4 linked regions of the Macaca fascicularis genome follow. The protein of the gene in region 2 purifies or fractionates together with the protein of the main gene of each other region. This does not show direct contact. Links are inferred from orthologs where the notes say so. Each region holds a gene or a part of one and is shown on either strand. Other genes may lie near its edges. The genes, in order: PPP2R1A, ECSIT, PPP2R2D and TIMMDC1.

What was found.
Region 1: the proteins of ECSIT (region 2) and PPP2R1A purify together in Homo sapiens (affinity purification with mass spectrometry; 3 studies listed by BioGRID and IntAct, with this or other methods). This does not show direct contact. The link is inferred for Macaca fascicularis from reciprocal best matches to the Homo sapiens genes ECSIT and PPP2R1A.
Region 3: the proteins of ECSIT (region 2) and PPP2R2D purify together in Homo sapiens (affinity purification with mass spectrometry; 3 studies listed by BioGRID and IntAct, counting the BioPlex papers as one, with this or other methods). This does not show direct contact. The link is inferred for Macaca fascicularis from reciprocal best matches to the Homo sapiens genes ECSIT and PPP2R2D.
Region 4: the proteins of ECSIT (region 2) and TIMMDC1 purify together in Homo sapiens (affinity purification with mass spectrometry; 3 studies listed by BioGRID and IntAct, counting the BioPlex papers as one, with this or other methods). This does not show direct contact. The link is inferred for Macaca fascicularis from reciprocal best matches to the Homo sapiens genes ECSIT and TIMMDC1.

What each region holds. Positions count from the first base shown.
Region 1 is NC_088393.1:59,991,213-59,997,048, reverse strand, and holds the end of PPP2R1A (serine/threonine-protein phosphatase 2A 65 kDa regulatory subunit A alpha isoform), read right to left. Parts: intron 5,631-5,836; coding exon 5,488-5,630; intron 1,862-5,487; coding exon 1,770-1,861; intron 1,602-1,769; coding exon 1,585-1,601; 3' UTR 1,147-1,584; downstream 1-1,146. UniProt on the Homo sapiens protein: The PR65 subunit of protein phosphatase 2A serves as a scaffolding molecule to coordinate the assembly of the catalytic subunit and a variable regulatory B subunit.
Region 2 is NC_088393.1:12,099,968-12,106,562, forward strand, and holds the start of ECSIT (evolutionarily conserved signaling intermediate in Toll pathway, mitochondrial), read right to left. Parts: upstream 3,638-6,595; 5' UTR 3,553-3,637; intron 3,466-3,552; exon of another isoform or gene 3,213-3,465; intron 1-3,212.
Region 3 is NC_088383.1:140,986,343-140,992,178, reverse strand, and holds part of PPP2R2D (serine/threonine-protein phosphatase 2A 55 kDa regulatory subunit B delta isoform), read right to left. Parts: intron 4,519-5,836; coding exon 4,353-4,518; intron 3,975-4,352; coding exon 3,862-3,974; intron 3,613-3,861; exon of another isoform or gene 3,515-3,612; intron 521-3,514; coding exon 343-520; intron 1-342. UniProt on the Homo sapiens protein: Substrate-recognition subunit of protein phosphatase 2A (PP2A) that plays a key role in cell cycle by controlling mitosis entry and exit. Involved in chromosome clustering during late mitosis by mediating dephosphorylation of MKI67.
Region 4 is NC_088376.1:163,656,146-163,661,981, reverse strand, and holds part of TIMMDC1 (complex I assembly factor TIMMDC1, mitochondrial), read left to right. Parts: intron 1-1,746; coding exon 1,747-1,857; intron 1,858-5,836.

The sequences.
Region 1 (5,836 bases), about 48 Mb from region 2:
CTCTGCGAAACCCTTCCATGCAGACATCACCAGCCTTACGTCCCTTGCTCCTTTCTCCAGGGTGCTCCAGGCCCCTCCCTGCATCAGTTAGAATTCGGGTCACCTTCAAGTGATGAAACCCCAAATGAACAGGCACTTAACCAGTTGAATTCTCCCAGGTGACAATACTGGCGTGGCTCTTCACAGCCTCAGGGAGCCAGGCTCCTTCCATCTTGTCCTGTCTTCCTTGACCTTCACTCCTAAGATCATTTTCTGGCCCAAGGTGGCAGCTTCTACTCTAGCCATCTGGTCCACATTCCAGAGTGCAGGAGTGCAGGAAGGAGGAAAGGTGGGGGATCATGCCTTCACCCTTAAGAACACTTCATAGAAGCTGCACATACCACTTTTGTTCAACATCTTTTTGACTAGAATTTGGTCACAGTACCACACCTAATCTCAAGAGACACTAGGAAAATACCTGGAATGCATATAGTCATGTGCCCAGCTAAAAATCAGAGCTTCTATATTAGGAAGGGGAGAATAGATACTGAGAGACAACTGGTCTATCTTGCCATAGTTCTCTCTCTAGTACAATCCTGATAGACCTCCTGGGGACAGGGTCAGAGCCCAAGTCTTCTTCAAGAACACAGGAAATGGCCCACAGGGGGTTCTCTGGCAATGTACAGCTAACTCTGCTTCCCATGTTGTGTACTTCTCATGTTGAAACTGTTACACACTTACCAGGTACTAATTCACTTGGTCCTCGCCACCCACCCTGCAATCTAGGTACTAATGTCACTCTCATTTTACACAATACAAAACTGAGCTCATAAAGACTTAACAAGCTACTCCTAGTCACACGTCTATTAACTGAAGGAGCCAAAATTTGGACCCAGGTAGTCTGGTTCCAAGGCACCTGCTCTTAACCCCCAAAATACTCGGCCAACATCTATGAAACTGAACTGCACTACAGGACAGCAGCCAGAGCACCTCGTGGACCCTCTGCTCCACAGGCCAGCAGCACTCCTCGGGGGATCCCCAGAGAATTCTCTCGGGACATAGGGGTATAATGGGTCCTGTAACAAGATCTTCTCCAGAGAAAAGGGCAGATGTTATGACTCTGGGGTGGTGTCCCCTCCTCCATGCTGATGACTAAGGCCAGAGGACTGACTACTTCTAGACCTTTATTTCTCTGTGAAAAGGGGGAAAATAAAAGGAATAAAATAAAAATGGCACAGTTGACACACAAAAAAAAAACCAATGAGGGGAAGGATGGGAGGTGAAGTAAATGGGGGAGGGGTTCCCATTACAGCAGCAGGATCCAGTGACCCGGGATGCTCACATCTCTCCCCGACGTGGGCGGAGTAGCCCCTTCCTCCCAGGGTCGCTGTCCTGTCCAACCCCGTGCTCCCCCAGCCCACTGGGAAGTGGACAGTGAGACATCTTCCCAGGCTGGGGAGAGGAGGAACCGTGCTGGGGGAAGGGGCCTGGGGTCAGACCATGCACAGGGAGTGACAGCCAAAGGCCCCCCAGTGTCTCTCCAAAGAGGGACTTGTGGGGGTTGGAGGTGGACACTAGAGGCCAGTGTTTGCTCCTCTTCCAGCATCAGGCGAGAGACAGAACTAGGAAAACAGGAACAGGCAAGAATCAGAACCACAGCCCTCTCTCTGCCCACAATGCCATGGTACCTCCCCCTCCCAGAAGCTGCGACCTTGTTCTCAAAGGACAGCCTAGCACCTGTCCTCAAAAGTCCACCCTCCTGCTAGGGCTCCCTGCTTTCTAGGTCTTACCAGTCAGAGCCTCCTGGGCAAAGTATTTGACGTCCACATCCTGGTCCTGGGTCAGCTTCTCTAGGATGGGCTTGACTTCACTCTGCAGGGTGCTGGAAAGCGAAAAGGAGACAGAGAAAGGGAGCGTACTGGGGCAACAGGTGGGCACAGGGCTCTTGAGCAAGAGGGTATACACAGACATGGATACACCAAACCCAAGGTGAGAGGAGTCTCAAGAATCCAGGACATACACAGGAATGAGAAATCTCCGCTCAATGCACAGGAAGGTGACCATAGTTAACAATAATATTTTGCATATTTCAAAACAGCTATAAGAGAAGATTTTGAATGTTCTCATTACAAAGAAACGGTAAACATTTAAGGTGATAGATATGCTAATCATCCTAATTTGATCATTACACATTTGCACACATTATCAAAACACTACTATACCCCCATAAATATGTATAATTATGTGTATATTAAAAGTAAAATCAGGCCTGGCATGGTGGCTCACATCTGTAATCCCAGCACTTTGGGAGCCCAAGGTGGGTGGATCATCTGAGGTCGGGAGTTTGAGACCAGCCTGGCCAACATGGAAAAACCCTGTCTCTACTAAAAATACAAAATTAGTAGGGTGTGGTGGTGCACGCCTGTGATCCTAGCTACTTGGGAGACTGAGGCAGGAGAATCGCTGGAACCTGGGAGGTGGAGGTTGTGGTGAGCCAAGATTGCGTCATTGCATTCCAACCTGGGCAACAAGAGTGAAACTCCGTCTCAAAAAAAAAAAAAAGTAAAATCAAGGCCAGGTGCGGTGGCTCATGCCTGCAATCCTAGCACTTTGGGAGGCCAAGGTGGGCAGACCACTTGAGGCCAGGAGTTCAAGACCAGCCTAGACAACATGGCAAAACCCCCGTCTCTACTGAAAGTACAAAAATTAGCCAAGCATGGTGGTGCACACCTGTAATCCCAGCAACTTAAGAGGCTGAGACACAAAAACTGCCTGAACCCAGGAGGCAGACGTTGCAGTGAGCCGAGATTGCACCACTGCACTCCAGCCTGGGCGACAGAGTGAGATTCTGTCTCAAAGGAAAACCAAACAAACTGCAAAAAAACCAACCAACCAACCAACCAATTACTTTAAAAGTCAGAAGTATGACAAACAACAACAGACTTCTCTGGGGCCCCAAACAGGGAGATCAGAGCAGGCTGGGAAAGTAGAACAGAATCACAGAACTCCCAAGTCTCTGAGGCCCAACAAATGGGTATCTTTCATTGATTTCACACATATTCACTGAGGCCTACAATGTATATGGAATGAATACGGAGCTAAATCACTTTTTCTTGCCATGAGGCATCCGGGCCAGGAGCAAGACAGAGACCAAACTGCTACGTAAGAAGGGAGTGGTAAGTGGTCCCAAGGGAAAGTTTCTGGTCCTCCAGGAGCCCAGAGGAGGCAACCACTCTCATCTATGGGGCCCAGGGAACTCCGCCTGCACCGAGTCAATTGTTTTGGGAAATGGAGGAGGACTTCGGAGAGAAACTAAAGCTGAGGTTGTGTCCTGGAACAGATTCAGACAGAAATCAAAAGTGCAGGCTTTGTGGGTCCCCCACTTTCACTTGACAGCTCCCTGTTCTCCCCAAATAACCACTATTCTTACTTCCATCATCTCGATTCTTTCATTCTGCCTGTTTCTGAACTTGACATAAATGGTGTGTTTTCTTGGGTTTGGCTCCTCACTCAACATGGTATCTGTGAGAGCCACCTGTGTTGCCGCCTACAGCAGGCATTTGATTTTTCACTGCTGAATAGTTTTCCACTGTATGAATGAACTAAAATTTATCTGCTCTACTGTGGGCAGACATGGAGGTTTTTTCTGTTTTTATGGCTACTATGAATAAAGCTACCATGAACATTCTTCGGACAGAAACAGCACTCATTTCTCCTGGATAGAGACCCAGGAGTGGAAGGGCTGTTTCACAGGGTGTTTGTATAACAAGCTTCACCAAATTCCACTCCAGTTCCACTCCCGTTTTCAGAGTGATCAAACCCTAAATACACAGCCTCACGTGCAACGGATGAGAGTTCCAGCTCTATGTCTTCAACATTTGCACCATTGAGTCTTTTTTAATATTGGCTGTTCTGGGAGGTGTGTAGTGATATGTCACTGAGCTTTAATTTGCACTTTCCTGAAGGCTGATGATGCTGAACACCTTGTCATATGCTTACAAGCTATGTGGAGATCCTTTTTCAAGTGCCGATTCAAGTCTTTTTTCCCATCTCTTTCTTGCCCTGCCTGGTTTGTAGACAGGTATTGTGGATGAGTCCTTTCTCAGAAACATACATTGCAGACATCTTCCTCCAGTCAAGGGCTTGCATTTTACTCTCAAAATGCTGTCTTTTGAGAAATAGTGCTACATTTTACAGAAGGTCAACTTACCCATCAATTCCTCTGGTTTGCTGTGCCTACGCTAACTCATGAAGATATTTTCCTACATTTTCTTCTAGATGTTTTATTTTTTAAATCTTTCTGGTTCTGGTCTGTCATCTCAAATTAATTTGTTTATGCATTGAGGCGAGGCTTCTTTTTTTTTTTTTTTTTTTTTTTTTTTTTTTTTTTTGAGACAGAGTCTGGCTCTGTCACCCAAGCTGGAGTGCAGTGGCCGGATCTCGGCTCACTGCAAGCTCCGCCTCTCGGGTTTACGCCATTCTCCTGCTTCAGCCTCCCGAGTAGCTGGGACTACAGGCGCCCGCCAGAGGCGAGGCTTCTTTTATTCCTACATGGATATCAAATTGACCCAGCTATGTTTTTTAAAAAATATATATTTCTCCACTGAACTACAGAGGTGCCTGCTGTTAAACACACGTGGGACTGTTTCCGTGCCCTTGATTCCATCCTATTGGGCGATTTAAATATTCTTGTATTCACATCTATTTTAATTACTGTGGTGTCGTCTCTGGTAGTATAAATCATCCAACTTTGTTCATTAGAAGTGTCAATTTTCCACTAAAGAACCTGTTGAGATTTAATGGGCTTATACTGAATCTAAAGATGAGTTCAGGGAACTGTCCCACACACGAATATTATGTAGGTCTGTTTTAATTTTTTTTGAGACAGAGTCTCGCTCTATCGCCCAGGCTGGAGTGCAGTGGCGTGATCTCAGTTCACTGCAACCTCCGCCTCCTGGATTCAAGTGGTTCTCTTGCCTTCAGGCTCCCAAACAGCTAGGATTACAGGTGTGTGCTACCACACCGGCTAATTTTTTGTATTTTTAGTAAAGACAGGGTTTCGCAATGTTGACCAGGCTGGTCGTGAACTCCTGACCACAAATGATCTGCCCACCTTGGTCAGGTCTGCTTTAATTTCTCACAGTAGTGTTTTACAGTTTACACTAGAGGTGTTACACATCTTTCACTGAATTTTTTCCTGGCTATTTAATATTTTTGGTGCAATTATAAATTATACAAATACTTACATATAAAACATTAGGTGATTTCATTTTCTAATGACTTGTTGCTAGTATGTAAGACTGCCATCCCATCACCCCCCTTTCTATTTCATTCTGTGACGTTCATTTTACAGTTGAGAAAACAGACCTTGAGAAGGGAAAGGAGCCACGGTCACACAGCAAGCAAGGAGTGGTGCCGGGCCTCTGACCCTGGGCTCTACCCTCAAAGGTCAAAGATGAAGGTGCCCACAAGCCCTTGCCAGTGTGTGTGGGAGTATCCAGACCTCACCTGTTGTCCAGGATGGGCCCTATCTTCTGCAGAGACTTGGCCACATTGAAGCGGACATTGGCCACCGGGTCCCCAGCCATACGCAGAACCGTGGGCAGCATGTGCTTGGTGGTGATGTCTTGCCCACAGACCTCAGACAGCACCTGGGGGCCAGTGAGTAACAGGGGTGAGTGCAAAGCTTCTGGCTAACTCTCATCTCCCACTGCCTCTGACCAGGCCACTCTGGTGATTATCAGGCCCTACAGAGGCTGAGCAACACAGGGACTCAGTTCAGTGTTATAGGAGTGGATCTCCCAACTCCACTAACACCATCCTAATACCACGTCTCCATTCTGTGATGTCCCAGTTT
Region 2 (6,595 bases):
TCCAGCCTGAGCAACAGAAGAAGACCCTGACTCAAAACAAAAAAAAACAAAAACAAAAAAACCCCACAGCTACTTAAAGTGTGTCCTAGGGACTGGCAGCGTCAGTGACATTTAGAAGTTTATTAGAATAGCAAAATTTGGCCAGGCATGGTGACTCACGCCTGTAATCCCAGCACTTTGGGAGGCCCAGGCAGATGAATCACCTGAGGTCAGGAGTTCGAGACCAGCTCCAACATGGAGAGACCCTGTCTCTACTTAAAAAAAAAAAAATACAGAATTAGCTGGGTGCGGTGGTGCATGCCAGTAATTCCAACTACGTGGAGGCTGAGGCAGGAGAATCGCTTGAACCCAGGAGACAGTGCTTGTGGTGAGCCAAGAGGACACCATTGCACTCTAGCCTGGGCAACAAGAGTGAAACTGTCTCAAAAAAAAAAAAAGCAAAATTTATCAGGATGGCAGCCATGAAAGTCAGAATCCACTGAACGTGTACCAACTCACCTGCTAAAAAACAAAACAAAACAAAAAAAAACAAATTATTGGCCCTATCCCAGACCTATTGAATTGGAATCTGCTTTTTTTTTTTTCCAGATGGAGTCTTGCTCTGTCGCCCCGGTTGGAGTGCAGTGGCGTGATCTAGGTTCACTGCAACCTCCGCCTCCTGGGTTCAAGCAATTCTCCTGCCTCAACTTCTGGAGTAGCTGGGATTACAGGCATGCACCACCACACCTGACTAATTTTTGTATTCTTAGTAGAGATGGGATTTCACCATGTTGGCCAGGCTGGTCTCGAACTCTTTACTTCATGATCCACCCACCTTGGCCTCCCAAAGTGCTGGGATTACGGTTTTGAGAGCAACCGCTCTCAAACACCTGGCTAACACGGTGAAACCTCGTCTCTACTAAAACTACCAAAAATTAGCCGGGTGTGGTGGCAGGCGCCTGTAGGCCCAGCTACTCGGGAGGCTGAGGTGGGAGAATGGCGTGAACCCGGGAGGTGGAGCTTGCAGTGAGCCAAGATCGCGCCACTGCACTCCAGCCTGGGCGACAGAGCCAGACTCTGTCTCAAAAAAAAAAAAAAAAAAACAAAAAAAAAACTAGTCTGGGTGACTATTTCCAAATCCATCCCAAATGCACCTCTTTCTGTCTGAAGCCACCATCTCAATCTATGACTTGGATACCTATCGAGCCTCCCACATCTGCCCTTCCCGCCTCCAGTCAGTTCTCCCCACTATGGCCAGAGGGAGCTTTTTTTTTGCGGGGGAGACAGAGTCTCATTCTGTTGCCCAGGCTGGAGTGCAGTGGCACGATCTCAGCTCAGTGCAACCTCTGCCTCCCCAGTTCAAGTTGATTCTCATGCCTAGGCCTCTCGAGTAGCTGAGACTACAGGTGTGTACCACCACACCCAGCTAATTTTTTGTATTTTAGTAGAGATGATGTTTCATCATGTTGCCCAGGGTGGTCTTGAACTCCTGAGCTCAAGCAATCCACCCATCTTGGCCTCCCAAAGTGTTAGGATTACAGGCATGAGCCATCGTACCCAGCCAGAGGGAGCTTTTAAACTAAACTTAGGTCAGGCGTGGTGGCTCACGCCTATAATCCCAGCACTTTGGGAGGCTGAGTCGGGTGGATCACGAGGTCAGGAGTTCAAGACCAGCTTGGCTGAGATGGTGAAACCCCATCTCTACTAAAAGTACAAAAATTAGCCAGGAGTGGTGGTAGGCGCCTGTAATCCCAGTTGCTTCGGACATTGCCCTCCAGCCTGGGTGACAGAGTGAGACTCCATCTCTAAATAAATAAACAAACAAACTAACTAAAACTAGTGATTTCTGCCTAAAATTGCTAACGGCACATCACACTTAAAATCAGGGACTGGGCACACTGGTTCATGCCTGTAATCCCAACACTTTGGAAGACCAAGGTAAGAGGATCACTTGAGCCCAGGAATTCAAGACCAGCCTGGGCAACATAGTGAGACCCTATCTCCACAAAAAAATTAAAAATTATCCAGGCACGGTGGCGAATGCCTGTCATCTCAGGTACTCAGGAGACTGAGGCTGGAGGATCCTTTAAAGTCAGTAGTTAGAGGTTGCAGTGAACTATGACTGCACTTGTGAATAGCAACTGCACTCTAGCCTGGGCAACATACTGAGATCCTGTCTCTAAAAATAAATAGGCAGGGAGCAGTGGCTCATGCCTATAATCCTAGTGCTTTGGAAGGCCAAGTGGGGAGGATCACTGCAGCCCAGGAATTCAAGACCAGCTCGGACAACATAGCAGGACACGATCTCTACAAAAATTGTTTTAAAAAAGTAGCTGGACCTGGTGGTGTGCACCTGTAGTCCCAGCTACTGGGAAAGCTGAGGCAGGAGAATCACTTGAGCCATGGAGTTTGAGGCTGCAGTGAGCTATGATTGCACCACTGCACTCCAGGCTTGGCAAACAAGGGAAATCCTGTCTCTAAAAAATAAAAATAAATAAATAAAATCAGACAGGGTCTACCCCTCTCTCTCAACTCCTACCACTGGCAGCTTCAGCTACACTGTTTCTGAAATAAACTAAGTTTAACCCATCTCAGAACCTTTGTACTCGCTTTTCTCTCTGTCTAGAGCTTTCTTCCTCCAGATCTGCCCACAGCTGTCTCTGGTCATTTCAATGAAAGGTCTTCTTTGACCACCTCCCATTCCCCATATTTTTCTAAAAGCCCTCATCGACCTATTAATTTTTGTTTGTTTGTTTCTGAGACAGGGTCCTGCTCTGTCCCCCAGGCTGGAGTGCAGTGGCACAATCACGGCTCACTACAGCCTTGACCTCCTGGGCTCAAGCAATCCTCCCACCTCAGCTTTCCGAGTAGCTAGGACTATAGGCGTGCACCACAATGCCCGCATAATTTTTTGTAGAGAACAGGGCCCTGCTATGTTGCCAAGGCTGGTCTCGAACTCCTGGGCTCAAGCGAAATTCCCGACACCATTAACGCATTTTTAGTAACTTATCAGTATCTGAAATCACCTGTTTCGTTTATTTGTGATTTGTTAAAAGTCTGGTTCCCCCAGGAGATGAAGGATTTTTATCTATCTTCCTCATGGCTGTGTCTCCAGCGCCCAGGACAGTGCCTGGTATACAGTAGATGCCTAACAAGTATCAACGGAACGGAAACAAGAGCTCAATTTCAACAAAACACCTATAAATCTGAACCCCGAGGTACAGTGTACGTACAGCAGCTCTGAAACCGGCTGCCAGGATTCTGGGTCTCTTGGGGGAAACAGGCAGACGTAGATTCCAATTCCTGCCCGGTTGCCGACTTGCGGCGTGACCTCTGGCGAGGACTTTAATCTGGGTCAGTTGTTTTCATCTGCAAAACCGGAGACTGGGGGCGTGAGGCGGCTGGCACAAGAGGGGCGGCCTTTCCCAGCGCGTCCCCGCCCCCACTACGAAAGGTCACGGCGCCCTGGCCCTGCAGCTGGGTCCCTCCAGGGCCGCCCTCTCGCGCTGCCGGGTCCTGAAGGGTCCGCTTAGAGCCCAGCAGTTCGCGCTCGCCTACCCGCGTGCGACCTACCTACTCACGCGGCCAGCCGCGGACTCCAGGCCAGCTCTGTCTTCTTGCTGGGCGCCGCCATATTGGCCCAGAGAGCGTCCGGGTCAGGGAGCGCCAGGGAGGCAGCTAATCAAGAAAGCTGGTGTAATAGGTCCCGCCCACAAAGCGAGGTGCGCCAATGGGAAGGCGGAAGGGCCTTAGACCCGCCTCATAACGAGCTGGGCCCCGCTTCTAATGAGTCAAGTGTCACTCCAGGCCTGGGAACCTTGAAATGGCCCGGGAGGCTGGACTTGGGAGTCTGTGAATCCAGCCGCAGGCTCCAGGGGCTGAAATGAGAAAATGAATTTTAAAAAAGTGAAAGGAGGCCGGCACGGTGGCTCATGCCAGTAATCCCAGCCCTTTGGGAGGCCAGGAATTCGAGACCAGCCTGGGCAACATAGCGAGACCCCCTTCTCTACAAAAAAGTTAAAAATTAACTGGGCGCAATGGCGCGTGCTCATAGTCCCAGTATTCGGGAGGCTGAAACGGGAGGATCGCTTGAGCCCTGGAGGTCGAGGCTACAGTGAGCCATGATTGCACCCCTGCACTCCAGCCTGGGCAACACAGTGAGACCCTATTTCTTTTCTTTTTTTTTTTTTTTTTCTTTTTTTTTTTTTTGAGACGGAGTCTCGCTCTGTAGCCCAGGCTGGAGTGCAGTGGCCGGATCTCAGCTCACTGCAAGCTCCGCTTCCCGGGTTCACGCCATTCTCCAGCCTCAGCCTCCCGAGTAGCTGGGACTACAGGCGCTGCCACCTCGCCCGGCTATTTTTTTTGTATTTCTTAGTAGAGACGGGGTTTCACCGTGTTAGCCAGGATGGTCTCGATCTCCTGACCTCGTGATCCGCCCGTCTCGGCCTCCCAAAGTCCTGGGATTACAGGCTTGAGCCACCGCGCCCGGCGAGACCCTATTTCTAAAATTAGTAATAATAAACAAACAGGGCCGGGCGTGGTGGCTCACGCCTGTAATCCAGGCACTTTGGGAGGCCGAGGAGGGCGGATCACCTGAGGTCAGGAGTTCGAGACCAGCCTGGCCAACATGATGAAACCCCGTCTCTACTAAAAATACAAAAGTAGCAGGGCATGGTGGTGGGCTCCTGTAATCCCAGCTACTCAGGAGGCTGAGGCAGGAGAATCGCTTGAACCCGGGAGACGGAGGTTGCAGTGAGCCAGGATCACTCCACTGCACTCCAGCTTCAGCAACAGAGCGAGACTCTGTCCCAAAAAATAAACTAAATAAGGCCGGGCGCGGTGGCTCAAGCCTGTAATCCCAGCACTTTGGGAGGCCGAGACGGGTGGATCACGAGATCAGGAGATCGAGACCATCCTGGCTAACACGGTGAAACCCCGTCTCTACTAAAAAATACAAAAAACTAGCCGGGCGAGGTGGCTGGCGCCTGTAGTCCCAGCTACTCGGGAGGCTGAGGCAGGAGAATGGCGTGAACCCGGGAGGCGGAGCTTGCAGTGAGCCGAGATCCGGCCACTACACTCCAGCCTGGGGGACAGAGCGAGACTCCGTCTCAAAAAAAAAAAAAAAATTAAATAAATAGGCCGGGCGCGGTGGCTCACGCCTGTGATCCCAGCACTTTGGGAGGCCGAAGCGGGTGGATCATGAGGTCAGGAGATCGAGACCATTCTGGCGAACACGGTGAAACCCCGTCTCTACTGAAAATACAAAAAAATTAGCCGGGCGTGGTGGCGCGCGCCTGTAGTCCCAGCTTCTAGGGAGGCTAAGGCAGGAGAATGGCATTAACCCGGGAGGTGGCGGAGCTTGCAGTGAGCGGAGATCGCGCCAATGCACTCCAGCCTGGGCGACAGAGCGAGACTGTCTCAAAAAATAAATAAATAAATAAAAATAAAAATTAGTAGGTCGTGGTGGTGAGCTCCTGTGATCCCAGCTACTTGGGAGGCTGGGGCACGAGAATTGCTTGAATCCAAGAGGTGGAGGTTGCAGTGAGCCAAGATTGTGCCACTGCACTCCAGCCTGGGCGACAGAGTGAGACTCTGTCTCAATAAATAGATAGATAGATAGATAGATAGATAGATAGATAGATAGATAGATAGATAGATAGGAAGGTCTCAATGAGGCGGCCTTTGAGTAAAGGCCAGAGGAAGTGAGTGAGCCTTCTGGATATCTGGGGAAGGCTTTTGGCACTGGGAACAACAGCAAAGACTCTGTGTGGTTGGAATGGAGTAACTTAGGAGGAAATGTGATAAAACGAGGTGAGATTGAGTAATGGGGGCTCCTGGTCTCCCCCAGAAAGCACCAGATTTAGGCTGTTAGTAACTAAGGTGGATAAGCACATAAAATGGGCTATTGGCAATAGCAGTGGCCCCCAGAAAGAAAGGCTATCTGTCCTCATAAGCCCATTTCTGCAGTCCCTCAGCTTCTGTGGTGCAGTGAGCTGGCATGGGGACTAGGATGCAAGAACCTGCTCTTAGGCTGCCTCAAGGACTCTGCGCAGCCGCAGGACATCCACCTCACCAGAACTCCTGTGATTGGGCGATCTGAGAAGACCTGTAGCCAATCAGCTGCTTGGCTGGAGCACTCCTCCTTGGCAAGTTGACAGGCATGTGGGTAGCGGCTGGGAGTGCTACTGCCCTCTGCTATGCTCCCGCAGATACAAGCAGGCAGAGTCAGCTCTGCTTAGCTGGGGAGTGGGTAAGATGGTGGGGTCGCTGACCTGGCTGTGGCCTTCAGAGTTACTGGTGTCCTCTTGAGGTGCTCATGGCTTTTATTTTCTTATTTATCTTTCCAGAACTAGTCTTTTTATTATTTTTTATTTTATTATATTTTATTTATTTATTTTTTGGAGACAGAGTCTGGCTCTGTTGCCCAGGTTGGAGTGCAGTGGTGCAATCTTGGCTAATTGCAACCTCCGCCTCCCACGTTCAAGCAATTCTCCTGCCTCAGCCTCCCGAGTAGCTGGGACTACAGGCACGTGCCACCATACCCAGCTAATTTTTGTATTTTTAGTAGAGACAGAGTTTCACCATGTTGCCTAGGTTGGTCTCGAACTCCTGGGCT
Region 3 (5,836 bases), on a different chromosome or scaffold from region 2:
CACATAAAGTTGGTTTTTCAAATGCAGCAAATTTAGAAAAAAAACCACATAAAGTTGGTTTTTCAAATGCAGCCTATTTAAAATTGTCTCTGACTAAAGCAGGCAAGCAGTGGACTTCGGGTAATTCCCATCACACAGATAACTTTTTCCCAAAGGTAGAAAGAAATTTGTATCTTTAGGGACAAACATTTCAAATCACAGAGAACTTATATCACAGGCTGCTGTGCAGCGACGGTATTTACAAGACCAGACTCTGAGATACAGGTGTATAAAGGAACAAGAGAAATCACTATCTAAAGAGCACCCTCAGGAAAACGCCAGTGTCCCTCTGAGGAAGGATACTAAAGCTTCTATCTGTGATTTCTAAGTGCCACAAATTAATTCTCAGGTCATCTGCAGAAAGATATGTTTCATGATCACTATTTACTGAAATGGAATTTATATGATATGTGTGAGCATTTGCAAAAATTCGCCGTGGACTCGCTTCTACCATAAGATCCATGGGCTTCAATATTGGGACCTAAAAATGGAAGGAAATAGGAATTCAAAACAAAGATCACAGCAGCATGGAATTAGAACACTTACAGTAGATAACGAAAGAGGACAAGTTTATATTCACGGCTAATAATTCTGTTCAGGCAATACCCCCAAATAACCAATTAGCAGAGTTATGAAAATACGCTACAAAATTGAATACTGTCTATTCCAAGTGTTCCCCCTTGCTTCCATTACCGAGGTCGACATTTTCTTCCTGCTGAAGAAAAGAAGATCAGCTGGCACGGTACAAGCTGCCCAGGCACCGAGGCCTGCGGCTCCCTCTCCTATGCGTCCTCTGGTGGCCACACTGAGACGCTGGACAGCAAAGTCTTCCTGGGTGGCTCAGCTGAGCCCCTCCCTTTGTCCTCTCCTTGCAGCTACATGCACAAAACTCCTCTCACTGCACCAGGACTATGCTTCTTGGTGCAAACCCCACAAGCCTCCACCGGCTCCAGGGACTGGCAGGGTGCACAGGTGGGTGCTGGGGAGCTGAGGATGTTCCATTTATTGGTCTGGGGCTGACTACATGGGCATGTCCAGTCTACAAACATTCATGGAGCTGGTCACTTATAGGGCAGACATATTATTTGGAGGTATGTATTATTCATTACACTTCATCTGAGGTTAAAACAAAAAGTAAAAGGTACCTCCCGCACCCATCTCTGTGTCGAGTGCGGCGGTCAGGGAGGCTTCTAGGGAAGCCCAATTCACACTGAAATGGAAAGGACAGAGAGGAGAAGGGTGCTGGCTGGAGGCCGCCTGCGGTCAGAGGTGAGAGCTCAGGTGTGAGGAATAGCATCACACATGAAAAAAGGACAAAGGTCTGCATCTCCCTAACACCCAGCTGGAAGAAAAACATAAGCTTTAAAATCAAAACAAAAAATTAATGAGAGTATTTTTTGTTATTCTTGTAATTAGAAACCAAAAGGGAGAGCCTTGAAAGCTTAGGGAAAAAAAATCTCTCAACTGAGTCTTGTCTGGCCAAATTCTGTAAAAAACGAACGTGGAGAAGTGTGTGTAGTGAGACTTCCCCCATTTTAACCCAGTTAGTGCTGACCACAGCCTTGGATTCTTTAGATCAAGAAGAGTCAGTTCAATGAAGTTCAGGCTTAAAAAACACACACCTGCCACAATCCTCTAACAAATCTCCCATTAATCAAAACACATGATGGCTGCAATACTTACAAAGATTCCTTCTTTTATTTTAAAAAATTTTAATTTACATATAAAATAATTTGTTTTCATTTTTAGAGATGGGGTCTGGCTATGTTGCCCAGGCTGGTCTTGAACTCCTGGGCTCAAGTGATCCTCCCATCTCAGTCTCCCAAAGTGCTGGGATTATAGGTATGAGCCACCGTGCCTGGCCAAGATTTCTTCTTTTAATTATATCCCTTTTCTGGCACTAAAATAATTTAAGAGCAAAAATTTAAAAATAGCAACATTTCTGACTCTTACCCAGTTAGGCTCAGATACATAAATAGCCCATTCTGAACTGTTAGAGAGGTACAATCTCAAATACTGACCTAAGTCATTGTACAGAATTACCTGTCTGTGGTCTCTTCCCCATGCACTGACTAATGAAATAACTATACTTCTCACAAGCCTTCAGTAGGGCCACCAATTATACCCATTTTATTTAGGCTAAACCTACAAAAGCAGCCTTGAATAAAACCAAGACTGGGCCTAGTAAAGGCCTACTGTTTTCCCAAAATGAGCATGTGAACTCATGGGTTGTGGCAGGGTCTGATCGGGAGGAACAGGGGTTTCTGAGGGTGGGGTATGCACAGGTACCTGGGTGGGAGGTGGTGTTGCCTGTAGAAGAGATGGACGAGACTGGAGGGGGTCAAGTGCCCACCCTCAGGGGTCCCATCACACTTCTACTTTAGGGTCAGCAGTTTCATGATAAAGGAACTGCACAACTCGTGTTACTGTCACTAAAAATGATTTACACTAATTCATGGATGCAAAGGCAGCGGCACTGCGTATCAGACACCACCACCATTTTGGATTGAAACATCTTGGCTCACATTATAAACTACATTTTCAGCACATGCCACAGCCTTTCTCACTTTGATGAGCTCATAGGAAACAGGGTGATAACCTCGATGTGAGAAGTCTGAGGACACTCCTCCTGGGAAATTGGGAAATGCACGACCCCAGGTGCACCCACCCCGCACGGCAAAGCTGGAGAAATGGCATCAGAACAGACCCAGCGTCACTCCCAGGGGCACGTGTGTTAGGGAAAGGCTTCTGCAGCTCAGCGTCCTTCTCTGTAGCACTTCAAAGGCTAATGTGGAATGGGCTCGCTCACTCGGCTTCACTTGATAAACAATAGCGTAACGGGCTGAAATCTCATTAAAAACCAGTCACCCAACCCAACCAACTCAACCAGCCACACCCACCCCCCCCGGCAACGAAACCACCCAACCAATTAACCAACCAGCCAACCCACCCACCCACCCACCAACCGTTTTCAGATCTAGTAATGGCACTCCCTTGGGACCAGGCAGGGTTTCCTTCCAGGGGACACACCTCTGCACAGGTGCTGGTTTCTCACCAAGACACACCCGGGCTGGAGTCCAGTTTGCTGGACACCCTTCACCATGTTCCATCTAATTTAAGACACACATCAGTCGTACGTAGCACCAGGCCAATTATAAGACATTGAGGTTTTAAGTTTTACCCGATTTCATAGATATTAAAATGTGAAAAAATCTAGGCCCTGGAATTGACGAAATATGGTCATTTCATACTGCATGATGCGGGGGGGGGGGGGGGGTGGGGATAGGGGGGCGCCAACAATGGAGCAAATAACTTAACAATTAAAAAAGTAATGATGCTCATGGACGGACAGGTGAAGAGTTCTGAACTGTCAGCATCTGCCTAAGTCAACCCCAAAGAAATGCCATGAGAACATTCTGAATGCATCTTGGTGGCCCACAGCCTATCTTTCGATCTGCAGCCTGTGCTGTTTCACCTGCGAAGTGTTCGGAATTCCATCTGAACTTCAACTTGCCAGGTGCTGTTCCGAACCTTCAGAGAGAAGGGTGGTCGGTACGTCCACCAAGATTTCTGCTGTAGAATTAGATGTGAGTTTTCCCCTTAGTATTGCAGTATTGTCTAAAGACCACATGTGACTTTTTGCCTTTGTGAAAATAGGAGAAAGACCTTGCTTTAAACACATGTGTCATGAGCGCAAATGCCTTTCATGACTCAGGAGGTGGACCTCACAGTATTCCACCCAGCAGGACTCTCCAAACAGCAGACGTAAACGTTTATTCTTAACTTCTGAACGGCATTGGATAAAGAAAAGGCAACGTATACCCGTAGTGCTGTGATTCTAAACGGATCTCGAAGTCTTCCATCTTCGTCTTTCAGGTTATAACCTTCTGCTCTTTTATCCCGTTCACTTATTTTCCATAATTTTATAGTTTTATCTGAAAATAAAAACCTCATTCTCCATATGAAAAGAAAAACTGTAACATGCATCACTACTGTTTGAGTATTATATTAGAAAGCGGTGTGGCCCTATGTTGGTTTATAAGCTATGGGGTCTTTGAACATGAATATTTCCAATTGGAGGTGTTTTGCACAATAAACAAAGATGTGGAGACGTGCAGAGTAACATCCTAGTAACTTGCACGTGTGGTTTTTGTTGCATACTTTGAATTTTCAACCTATCACTTGCTACCCTAGATAACTTACCCTCCCCACAAAATTTAAAGCAGGATTAACTTCTAAAATAAAAAGAAATCTACACACACAGAAAATTAAAAATAAAACACTAAATCAGCCACTTAGAAAACAATTCTTACCATTTGTAGAGAGTAGAAAATGAGCAGCATTCTGTTGTGGTAACCACCTAATTTTATTAATTTTTTCCTCAATTTCTAGACTTTTCAAATAGTCAAACTCTGGTTCATGACTTTGAAAAGTGCTGTAAACATTATATTCTCCCCTAGAATGAGGGCGGCTTTTGTTCTGCAAAGAAACATGAGAGCTGTTTTAATGAACAAAGCACAGTGCAGAGAAAATTTCTGTACTATAAATTTGAATATCAAATGACCATACGTATTTTTTAAAGCTAAAAAATCCTGGCTCAAAAAAATCTCAAACAGATGAAACTCAGAATCAATGTTTTGGGGAAAAAAACAAAAAAGAAAGAACCTGATTTCCAACTCTTCTATTCCACTTCTAGGTATGCATCTGGAGCAGGGTCTGCCAAATGCTGCCTGCTGTATTTAAGGCAAGTGTTAGTGGAACAGTCAGGCCCATGTGTGCACATACTGTGTCTGGCTGCTTCTGTACCATCTGGGTAGAGGTGAGTGGTTGTGAAAAGGCCGCATGAGCTACAGAGGCAAAAATGTTTGCAATCTGGCCCTGGAGAGAAAGCGTCTGCAGAGTCTGCTCTACAGGAGAGCCGGCACGGGCCCGAGGAGCGCGGCACAGCGATGTGGCGGCTCCAACACGGTGGTAGTGAACCAGATGCCACACGCATGCCAACCAGAGGAGAAGGGCACCAGTAAGCCACAGAGCCGTGCGGGCTGAGATAAATGAGCAAGCACAGACAACGGCACAGTGCTGCCCAAGTGAAGCAGGCCGCACAGGCGCCCAGAGTGAGGCGCTGCTTACATATGCACAGAACGATTCTGTTACAGAAGTAGAGAAACATGCTTGGGAAGATATATACCATCTTTGAAATCATGAGCAACTCTGGGAAGGTAGAGAGAGGGAGAAGGAAAAAGACTGGGAGGAAAGTAGCAGGATGAAACGGGGAGGGGACAACAGGAGCGTCATCGGTATCCCAAGCACTCTCTTTCCTTTGATGAAGGGATAATCTCCGGGTAGTGGGTTTGCAGGTACATCTATATTAACCTCTGAATCTTCTGTACGCCCTAAATGAAATTTTCTATTAAGTATTAAATATTTCATAATTCAAAATCAAGGACGCCAGTATTTTCATTCTTGCTCTATAACCAGTATCTAATATCTTAGGTGTTTAACATTTTAGTACATATGCTAAAGAAACAGAACTAAACAAACTTTTAAGTCTCGACAGATGTTCCTTTATATTTCCAATCTGATCACGTATCAGAAGACATCCCAAGAAGCTAGGCCACAGCTCTCCGCCGCACGGAGTCCGATGTGCAGGGCACTCCTTCCACCGAAGCCTCCGTGGGCAGGAGCTGAGCGCCTCGCCGCTGACTGCCCCGCGTGTGCTGCACAGGGCAGATGTCGAAACTGCTCTCCTCTGACCCTCTCCTACCCCTCTACAAAAAAGCACAGCCCCTCAACAGAC
Region 4 (5,836 bases), on a different chromosome or scaffold from region 2:
TTTAAGTGTTCACTCAGATATCTATCTCCTTTTTCATTACCTCAGATTTAACTAATTAGTAACCTTAATTACATTTCTCACATAAATTTTGCCATGTATGATAATATAATCATGGGCATAATATATTCACAGTTGAGTGATTAGGCAGGATATTTGGGGGGACCACTTTAGAATTCTGCCTACCACATTTGGTTAAGGTGTTATCTGTTCAGTGCCTCCATTGCAAAGATATCTTTTTCCCAATGTGATTAATTAGTAATCTGGAGGGTGACACTGAATATCCTGCTCTCCAACTATCTTTTCATCATGTGTTTTTAATGATCCATTGACGACCCATGCTGTAATCGGTTTGTTACTAGAAAGGTGGTTGTAAATGTTGATAAGCTAATTCTGTCAGTTCTTCTGTTTTTATTAGTTGGTATTTGACTAGAAGAGTGCTACCTTCCTCCTGCACCTGTTCACCCCTTTTTCTGCCTCCTTTAAAGGAGAAGATAATGCTATAGATTTAATGATTTTTTAAAAATTTAAATTAAATAAAATCAGCATGTCATAATCTACTACTGCCATTATTTTTGTTGTAGTGTTAATATACCAGTTTGGTTTGAAGGGAAGACTTGTAGAAGTTAGCAACAAAAATATTTTATATTGTGGTAATAAACACATAGCATAACATTCACCATCTTAATCATACTTTAAGTGTATAGTTCAAAAATGCTAAGTATATTCACATTGTGTGTGAGATCTCTAGAACTTTTTTCTCTTGCGAAATGAAACTATATCCGTTAAAAACTAATTTTCCCTCCTCATACCCTCCAGCCCTCAGCAAACATATTTCTACTTTCTGTTTCTATGATTTTGACTACTTTATATACTTCATATGAGTAGAATCATACAGTATTTTCCTTTTGTGACTAGCTTATTTTACTTAGCATAATAATGTCCTTGAGGTTTATCTATGTTGTAGCCTGTGACGGATTGCCCTCTTTTTTAAGGCTGCATAATACTCCATTGTATGTGTATGTCACATTTTCTTTAGCCATCTGTCAGTGAACATTTATGTTGCCAAGTAAAAGTAGTTTTTAGTATGAGGTTACTTAAATTGTAGCTGGAGGAAATTTAAGGTATGTGAAGGTCAAATACTTCTAGTTTGAGAACACAAGAACCAAATTCTCTTCATCACTATAGCAATTATTATCTAAATCAGTTTCTCAGTGGGTTGCTTTTGGCATTGTTGGTGAGACAGTTATGCCAGACTCTTGAACTTTAGGATATTTTGGTGATCCCACCCTCAAAAGCCAGTAGCATCCCTTCCTCAACCAAAAATGCCTTCCACATTTCCTGTCTCCTAGAGGAGCTGGTGCCATTCTGAACTAGAAATTTCATTTCTGAGAATTCTTTGGTGTGGGACTACTTACTAGATCCTGTCATAATTATATACTTTTTTCTCTTCGTTTTGATTTATTTCTCATTCCTCATAAAAACAACCAGTTTCTAGATCTGTTGTTTTATTATATATCAGTTAACTTTAGGAGGTTGTAGTGATTGTTTTTCTCTGTTGTTCAGACCAGAGAAGAGATTACCTCAATGTTTTTCTTTATTTGACAAGGACACTTTAATTCTCAAATGTTCCTATACCTAATAGTGAACAAGTGGCTCTGGTGTTGCTCACACCTTAGCAGAGAATCTCACATGTTGCAAGGTCTAATGATTCTTTTTTCCTAAGCTTTCCCTCTCCTTTCTTCTCAGTACTCCTGTAGGAGGCCTGCTGATGGCATTTCAGAAGTACTCTGGTGAGACTATTCAGGAGAGAAAACAGAAGAATCGAAAGGCGCTCCATGAGCTAAAACTGGAAGAGTGGTAAGGAACATGTTAAGCCCAGGGAATCTTGGCTCTCTTGCCCCAGGCCTTATATAGTGGTGCTCTGTTAAACTTGTGTACTCTAAACTGCCACTCAGTTCAAAGAAGAGTTTATTTTTACTGAGTCCTTCAACTCATTCTGTACATTGTCTTTTAATCTATTTAAGGAGAATGGAAAAATGAAAGACATTAATTTTAGTTTTAATTTAACAAAGGTCTTTCTTTGCATTTTTTTTTTAAGTTAAAATGTTGTAAATCTTACTTGCTTGCATATTTTTTATTTTCCTATGTTCTTGACTGCATAGGAAATTACCTAAAGGGAATATTCACCAAGGAGTGAGCTTTACCTGGCTTACTTAAAAAGTGACATCCTTAGCCAGGCAGGGTGGCTCATGCCTGTAATCCCAGCACTTTGGGAGGCCAAGACAGTTGGATCACCTGAGGTCAGGAGTTCGAGACCAGCCTGGCTAACATGGCGAAACACCATCTCTACTAAAAATACAAAAATTAGCTGAGCATGGTGGCACGTGCCTGTAGTCCCGGCTCCTCAAGGAGGCTGAGGCAGGAGAATCACTTGAACCCAGGAGGTGGAGGTTTCAGTGACCCATGATTATGCTCCAGCCTGGGCCACAGATCAAGACTCCATCTCAAAACAGGAGAAGAAGTGACATCTTTTTTTTTTGCACAAATATGTATGTAAGACACAGCATGTTAAGTCTCCACAAAGATTCTGTTTCTTGCTGTAGACACAGAGGAATTAGGTGGACAGTGGTGGTTCATGCACTGAATGCCACTGAGGAGCATGAAAACTTTTACCTATTGCATGTAATCATTTCCTGGGATGCAATTTGTGGGGTAGGGCAATCAGACTGATAGCTGACTTTGCACAGATTCAATATGTAAGATGAATATAACAGGCTGCTATCTAGTGCTCCTGAGTACAAATGATTCTCACTAGTTCAGCTTCCTGGGTACCTAAGATAGCATTGGCTGCTGCTGCTGTTGCTGTTTTGGTATTATAATTGGATAGATAAGAAATCATTTTTTTCCAATGTTTTCATTTGAAACCTCCATTTCTGCTAACCACACACACATACATGGAAATTCTTAAGAGCTGTAGTCCATTATCCAAAGACTTATGTGCTATATGAGAAAAAAAGCATTGAGGTTGCAGTGAGCCGAGATCACACCACTGCACTCCAGTCTGGGCCACAGAGCAAGACTTCATCTCAAAAAAAATAAATAAATAAAAATTTTAAAAATAAATGAAAAATTAAAAACTACAGAAGTTTGTCAGTGATTTAGGGGTCAGTGATTTTGAGATAGAAAAGCTTAAGAATGGCTGGCTAAGGCCATTCTAAGATCATTCACCTGGAGTCTTCCACCACTGGCAACACTGCCAATTCTAGTGGTTGAGCTGTCATGTGCACTGCCTGAAGACTGGCCCATCCAGGGCCTGCTGCCACCATTTACCTCCCCCCATCCGGTTAACAGCAGATTTGCCAGCAGAAAACTTACAGCTCAGGAGAGAATGGGATGACACATTCAGAATGCTGAAAGGAAAAAACAAACAAAAAAACCCAAAAAAACTCCTGCAAAGAGTATTATACCTAGCAAAGCTGTTCTTCCAAAATGAAGGAGAAATAGTCTTCCCAAGACAGGCAAACACTGAGGGAATTCATCACTACTGGACTGCCTTATAAGAAATGCTTAAAGAACTCCTGCATGTGAATGCAAAAGTATGGTAACTGCCATTATGGAAACACATGAAAGAATAAAACTCACTAGTAGAGCAGATAGATACACAAATAAGAACGAGAAAGGAATCAAACCTTATAATTACAAAAATCCACCAACTATGGAAGTAAATAAGAGGGGAAGAAAGGAACAAAGATTATACAGAACAACCAGGAAACAATTAACAAAATGACAGGAGTAAATCCATACCCACAATAACAACGTGGAATATAAACACTTTAAATTCCCCAATTAAAGATTTAGACTGGCTGAATGAATAAAAAAGAATTTAAAGACTCAACTATATATACTGACTACAAGAAACTTCACCTGTAAAGGTACAGATAGGCTGAAAGTAAAGGGATAGAAAAAGATGTTCATGCAAATGGAAACCATAAATGAGCAGGAATAGCTATACTTAGGCCAGATAAAATAGGCTTTAAATAAAAAACTACAAAAAGAGACAAGGTCATTATATAATGATAAAGAGATTAATTCAGCAAGAGGAAATAACTGTAAATATATATACATCCAACACGAGAGCATCCATTTATATATAAACAAATAATAATAGAGCTAAAGGGAGAGATAAACCCTAATGTAATAGCTGGGGACTTCAACACGGCACTCCCAGCACTGGACAGATCATGTAGACAGAAAATCAACAAAGAAACATCAGACTTAAACTGTACTATAGATCAAATGGATCTAGCAGACATTTACAGAACATCACATCCAAGAGCTGCAAAATACACCTTTTTCTTATCTTGGAATGTTCTTCAGGATAAACCATATGTTAACCTACAAAACAAGTCTCAACAATTTTTTAAAGCTCAAAATAACATCAAGTATTTTTTCAGACCATAGCAGGATAAAACTAGAAATCAGTAACAGGAAGGACTTTGGAAACAGTGCAGATACACAGAAATTAAATAATATGCTCCAGAACAATGAATAGGTCAGTGAAAAAAGAAGGAAATTTAAAAATTTCTTGAAACAAATGAAGGTAGAAACACATCATACCAAAACCTATGGGATACAACAAAAGTATCACAGGTACGTTTACAGCAATAAATGCCTCCATCAAAAAGTAGAAATGTTTCAGATAAACAACCTAACACTGCACCTGAGGGAACTCGAAAAGCAAGAACAAACCAAACCCAAAATCAGTAGACGAAAATAAATAAAAATATCAGAGCAGAGCTGAGTGAAATAGAGACTTAAAACACACACACACACACAAAAGAACTAAATGAAAAGTTCGTTTCTTGAAAACAAACAAAATCAAGAAACTACTAGGTAGACTAAGAAAAAAGACCCAATTAAGTTAAAAAACAAAAAAGGAGACATTACAACTGATACCACAGACATACTCGTATCATTAGAGATTATTATGAAACAACTATATGGCAAGATATTGGAAAAGCTACATGAAATGGATATGTTCCTGAAACCCTATAATCTATTGAGATTGAGCCAAAAAGTAATAGAAAACCTGAACAGACCAATAACAAGTAACAAGATTGAACTGGTAATAAAAAGTCTCCCAACAAAGAAAAGTCCAGGACCACATGGCTTCGTTGCTAAATTCTGCCAAACAGTTAAAGAAGAATTAAGACCAATTCTCAAACTATTCCAAAATATTGAAGGTGAGAGAATTCTTCCAAACTCAGTCTACAAGGCCAGCATTACCCTTATACAACAAAAACCAGACAAGGGCACGTTAAAAAACAACACCACCACCACCACCACCTACAGGCCAATGTATTCTACAAAACAATCCTTAACAAAATTCTAGCAAACCAAATCCAAGGGTACATCAAAAAGATTATACATCATGAACAAGTGGGATTTATCCTAGGTATGCAAGGATGGTGCAACATACACAAATCAATAAATGTGGTACATCATATAAACAGAAGGAAGAACAAAAACCATATGATCATCTCAATAAATGCAGAAAAAACATTTGGTAAAATTCAACACCCCTTCATGATAACACCTCCCAAAAAGTTAGGGGTATAAGGACTATTTCTCAGTACAATAAAGGCCATATATGCCAGACTCACAGCTAATATCATACTGAACAGGGAAAAATGAAAAGCTTTTCCCTCAAAGAACTGGAATGAAATAGGAATGCCCACTCTTACCAGTCTTATTCAACATAGTATTGGAAATCCTAGCCAGAGCAGTTAGGCAAGAAAAAGAAATAAAAGGCATTAGAGGCCAGGCACCATTGCTC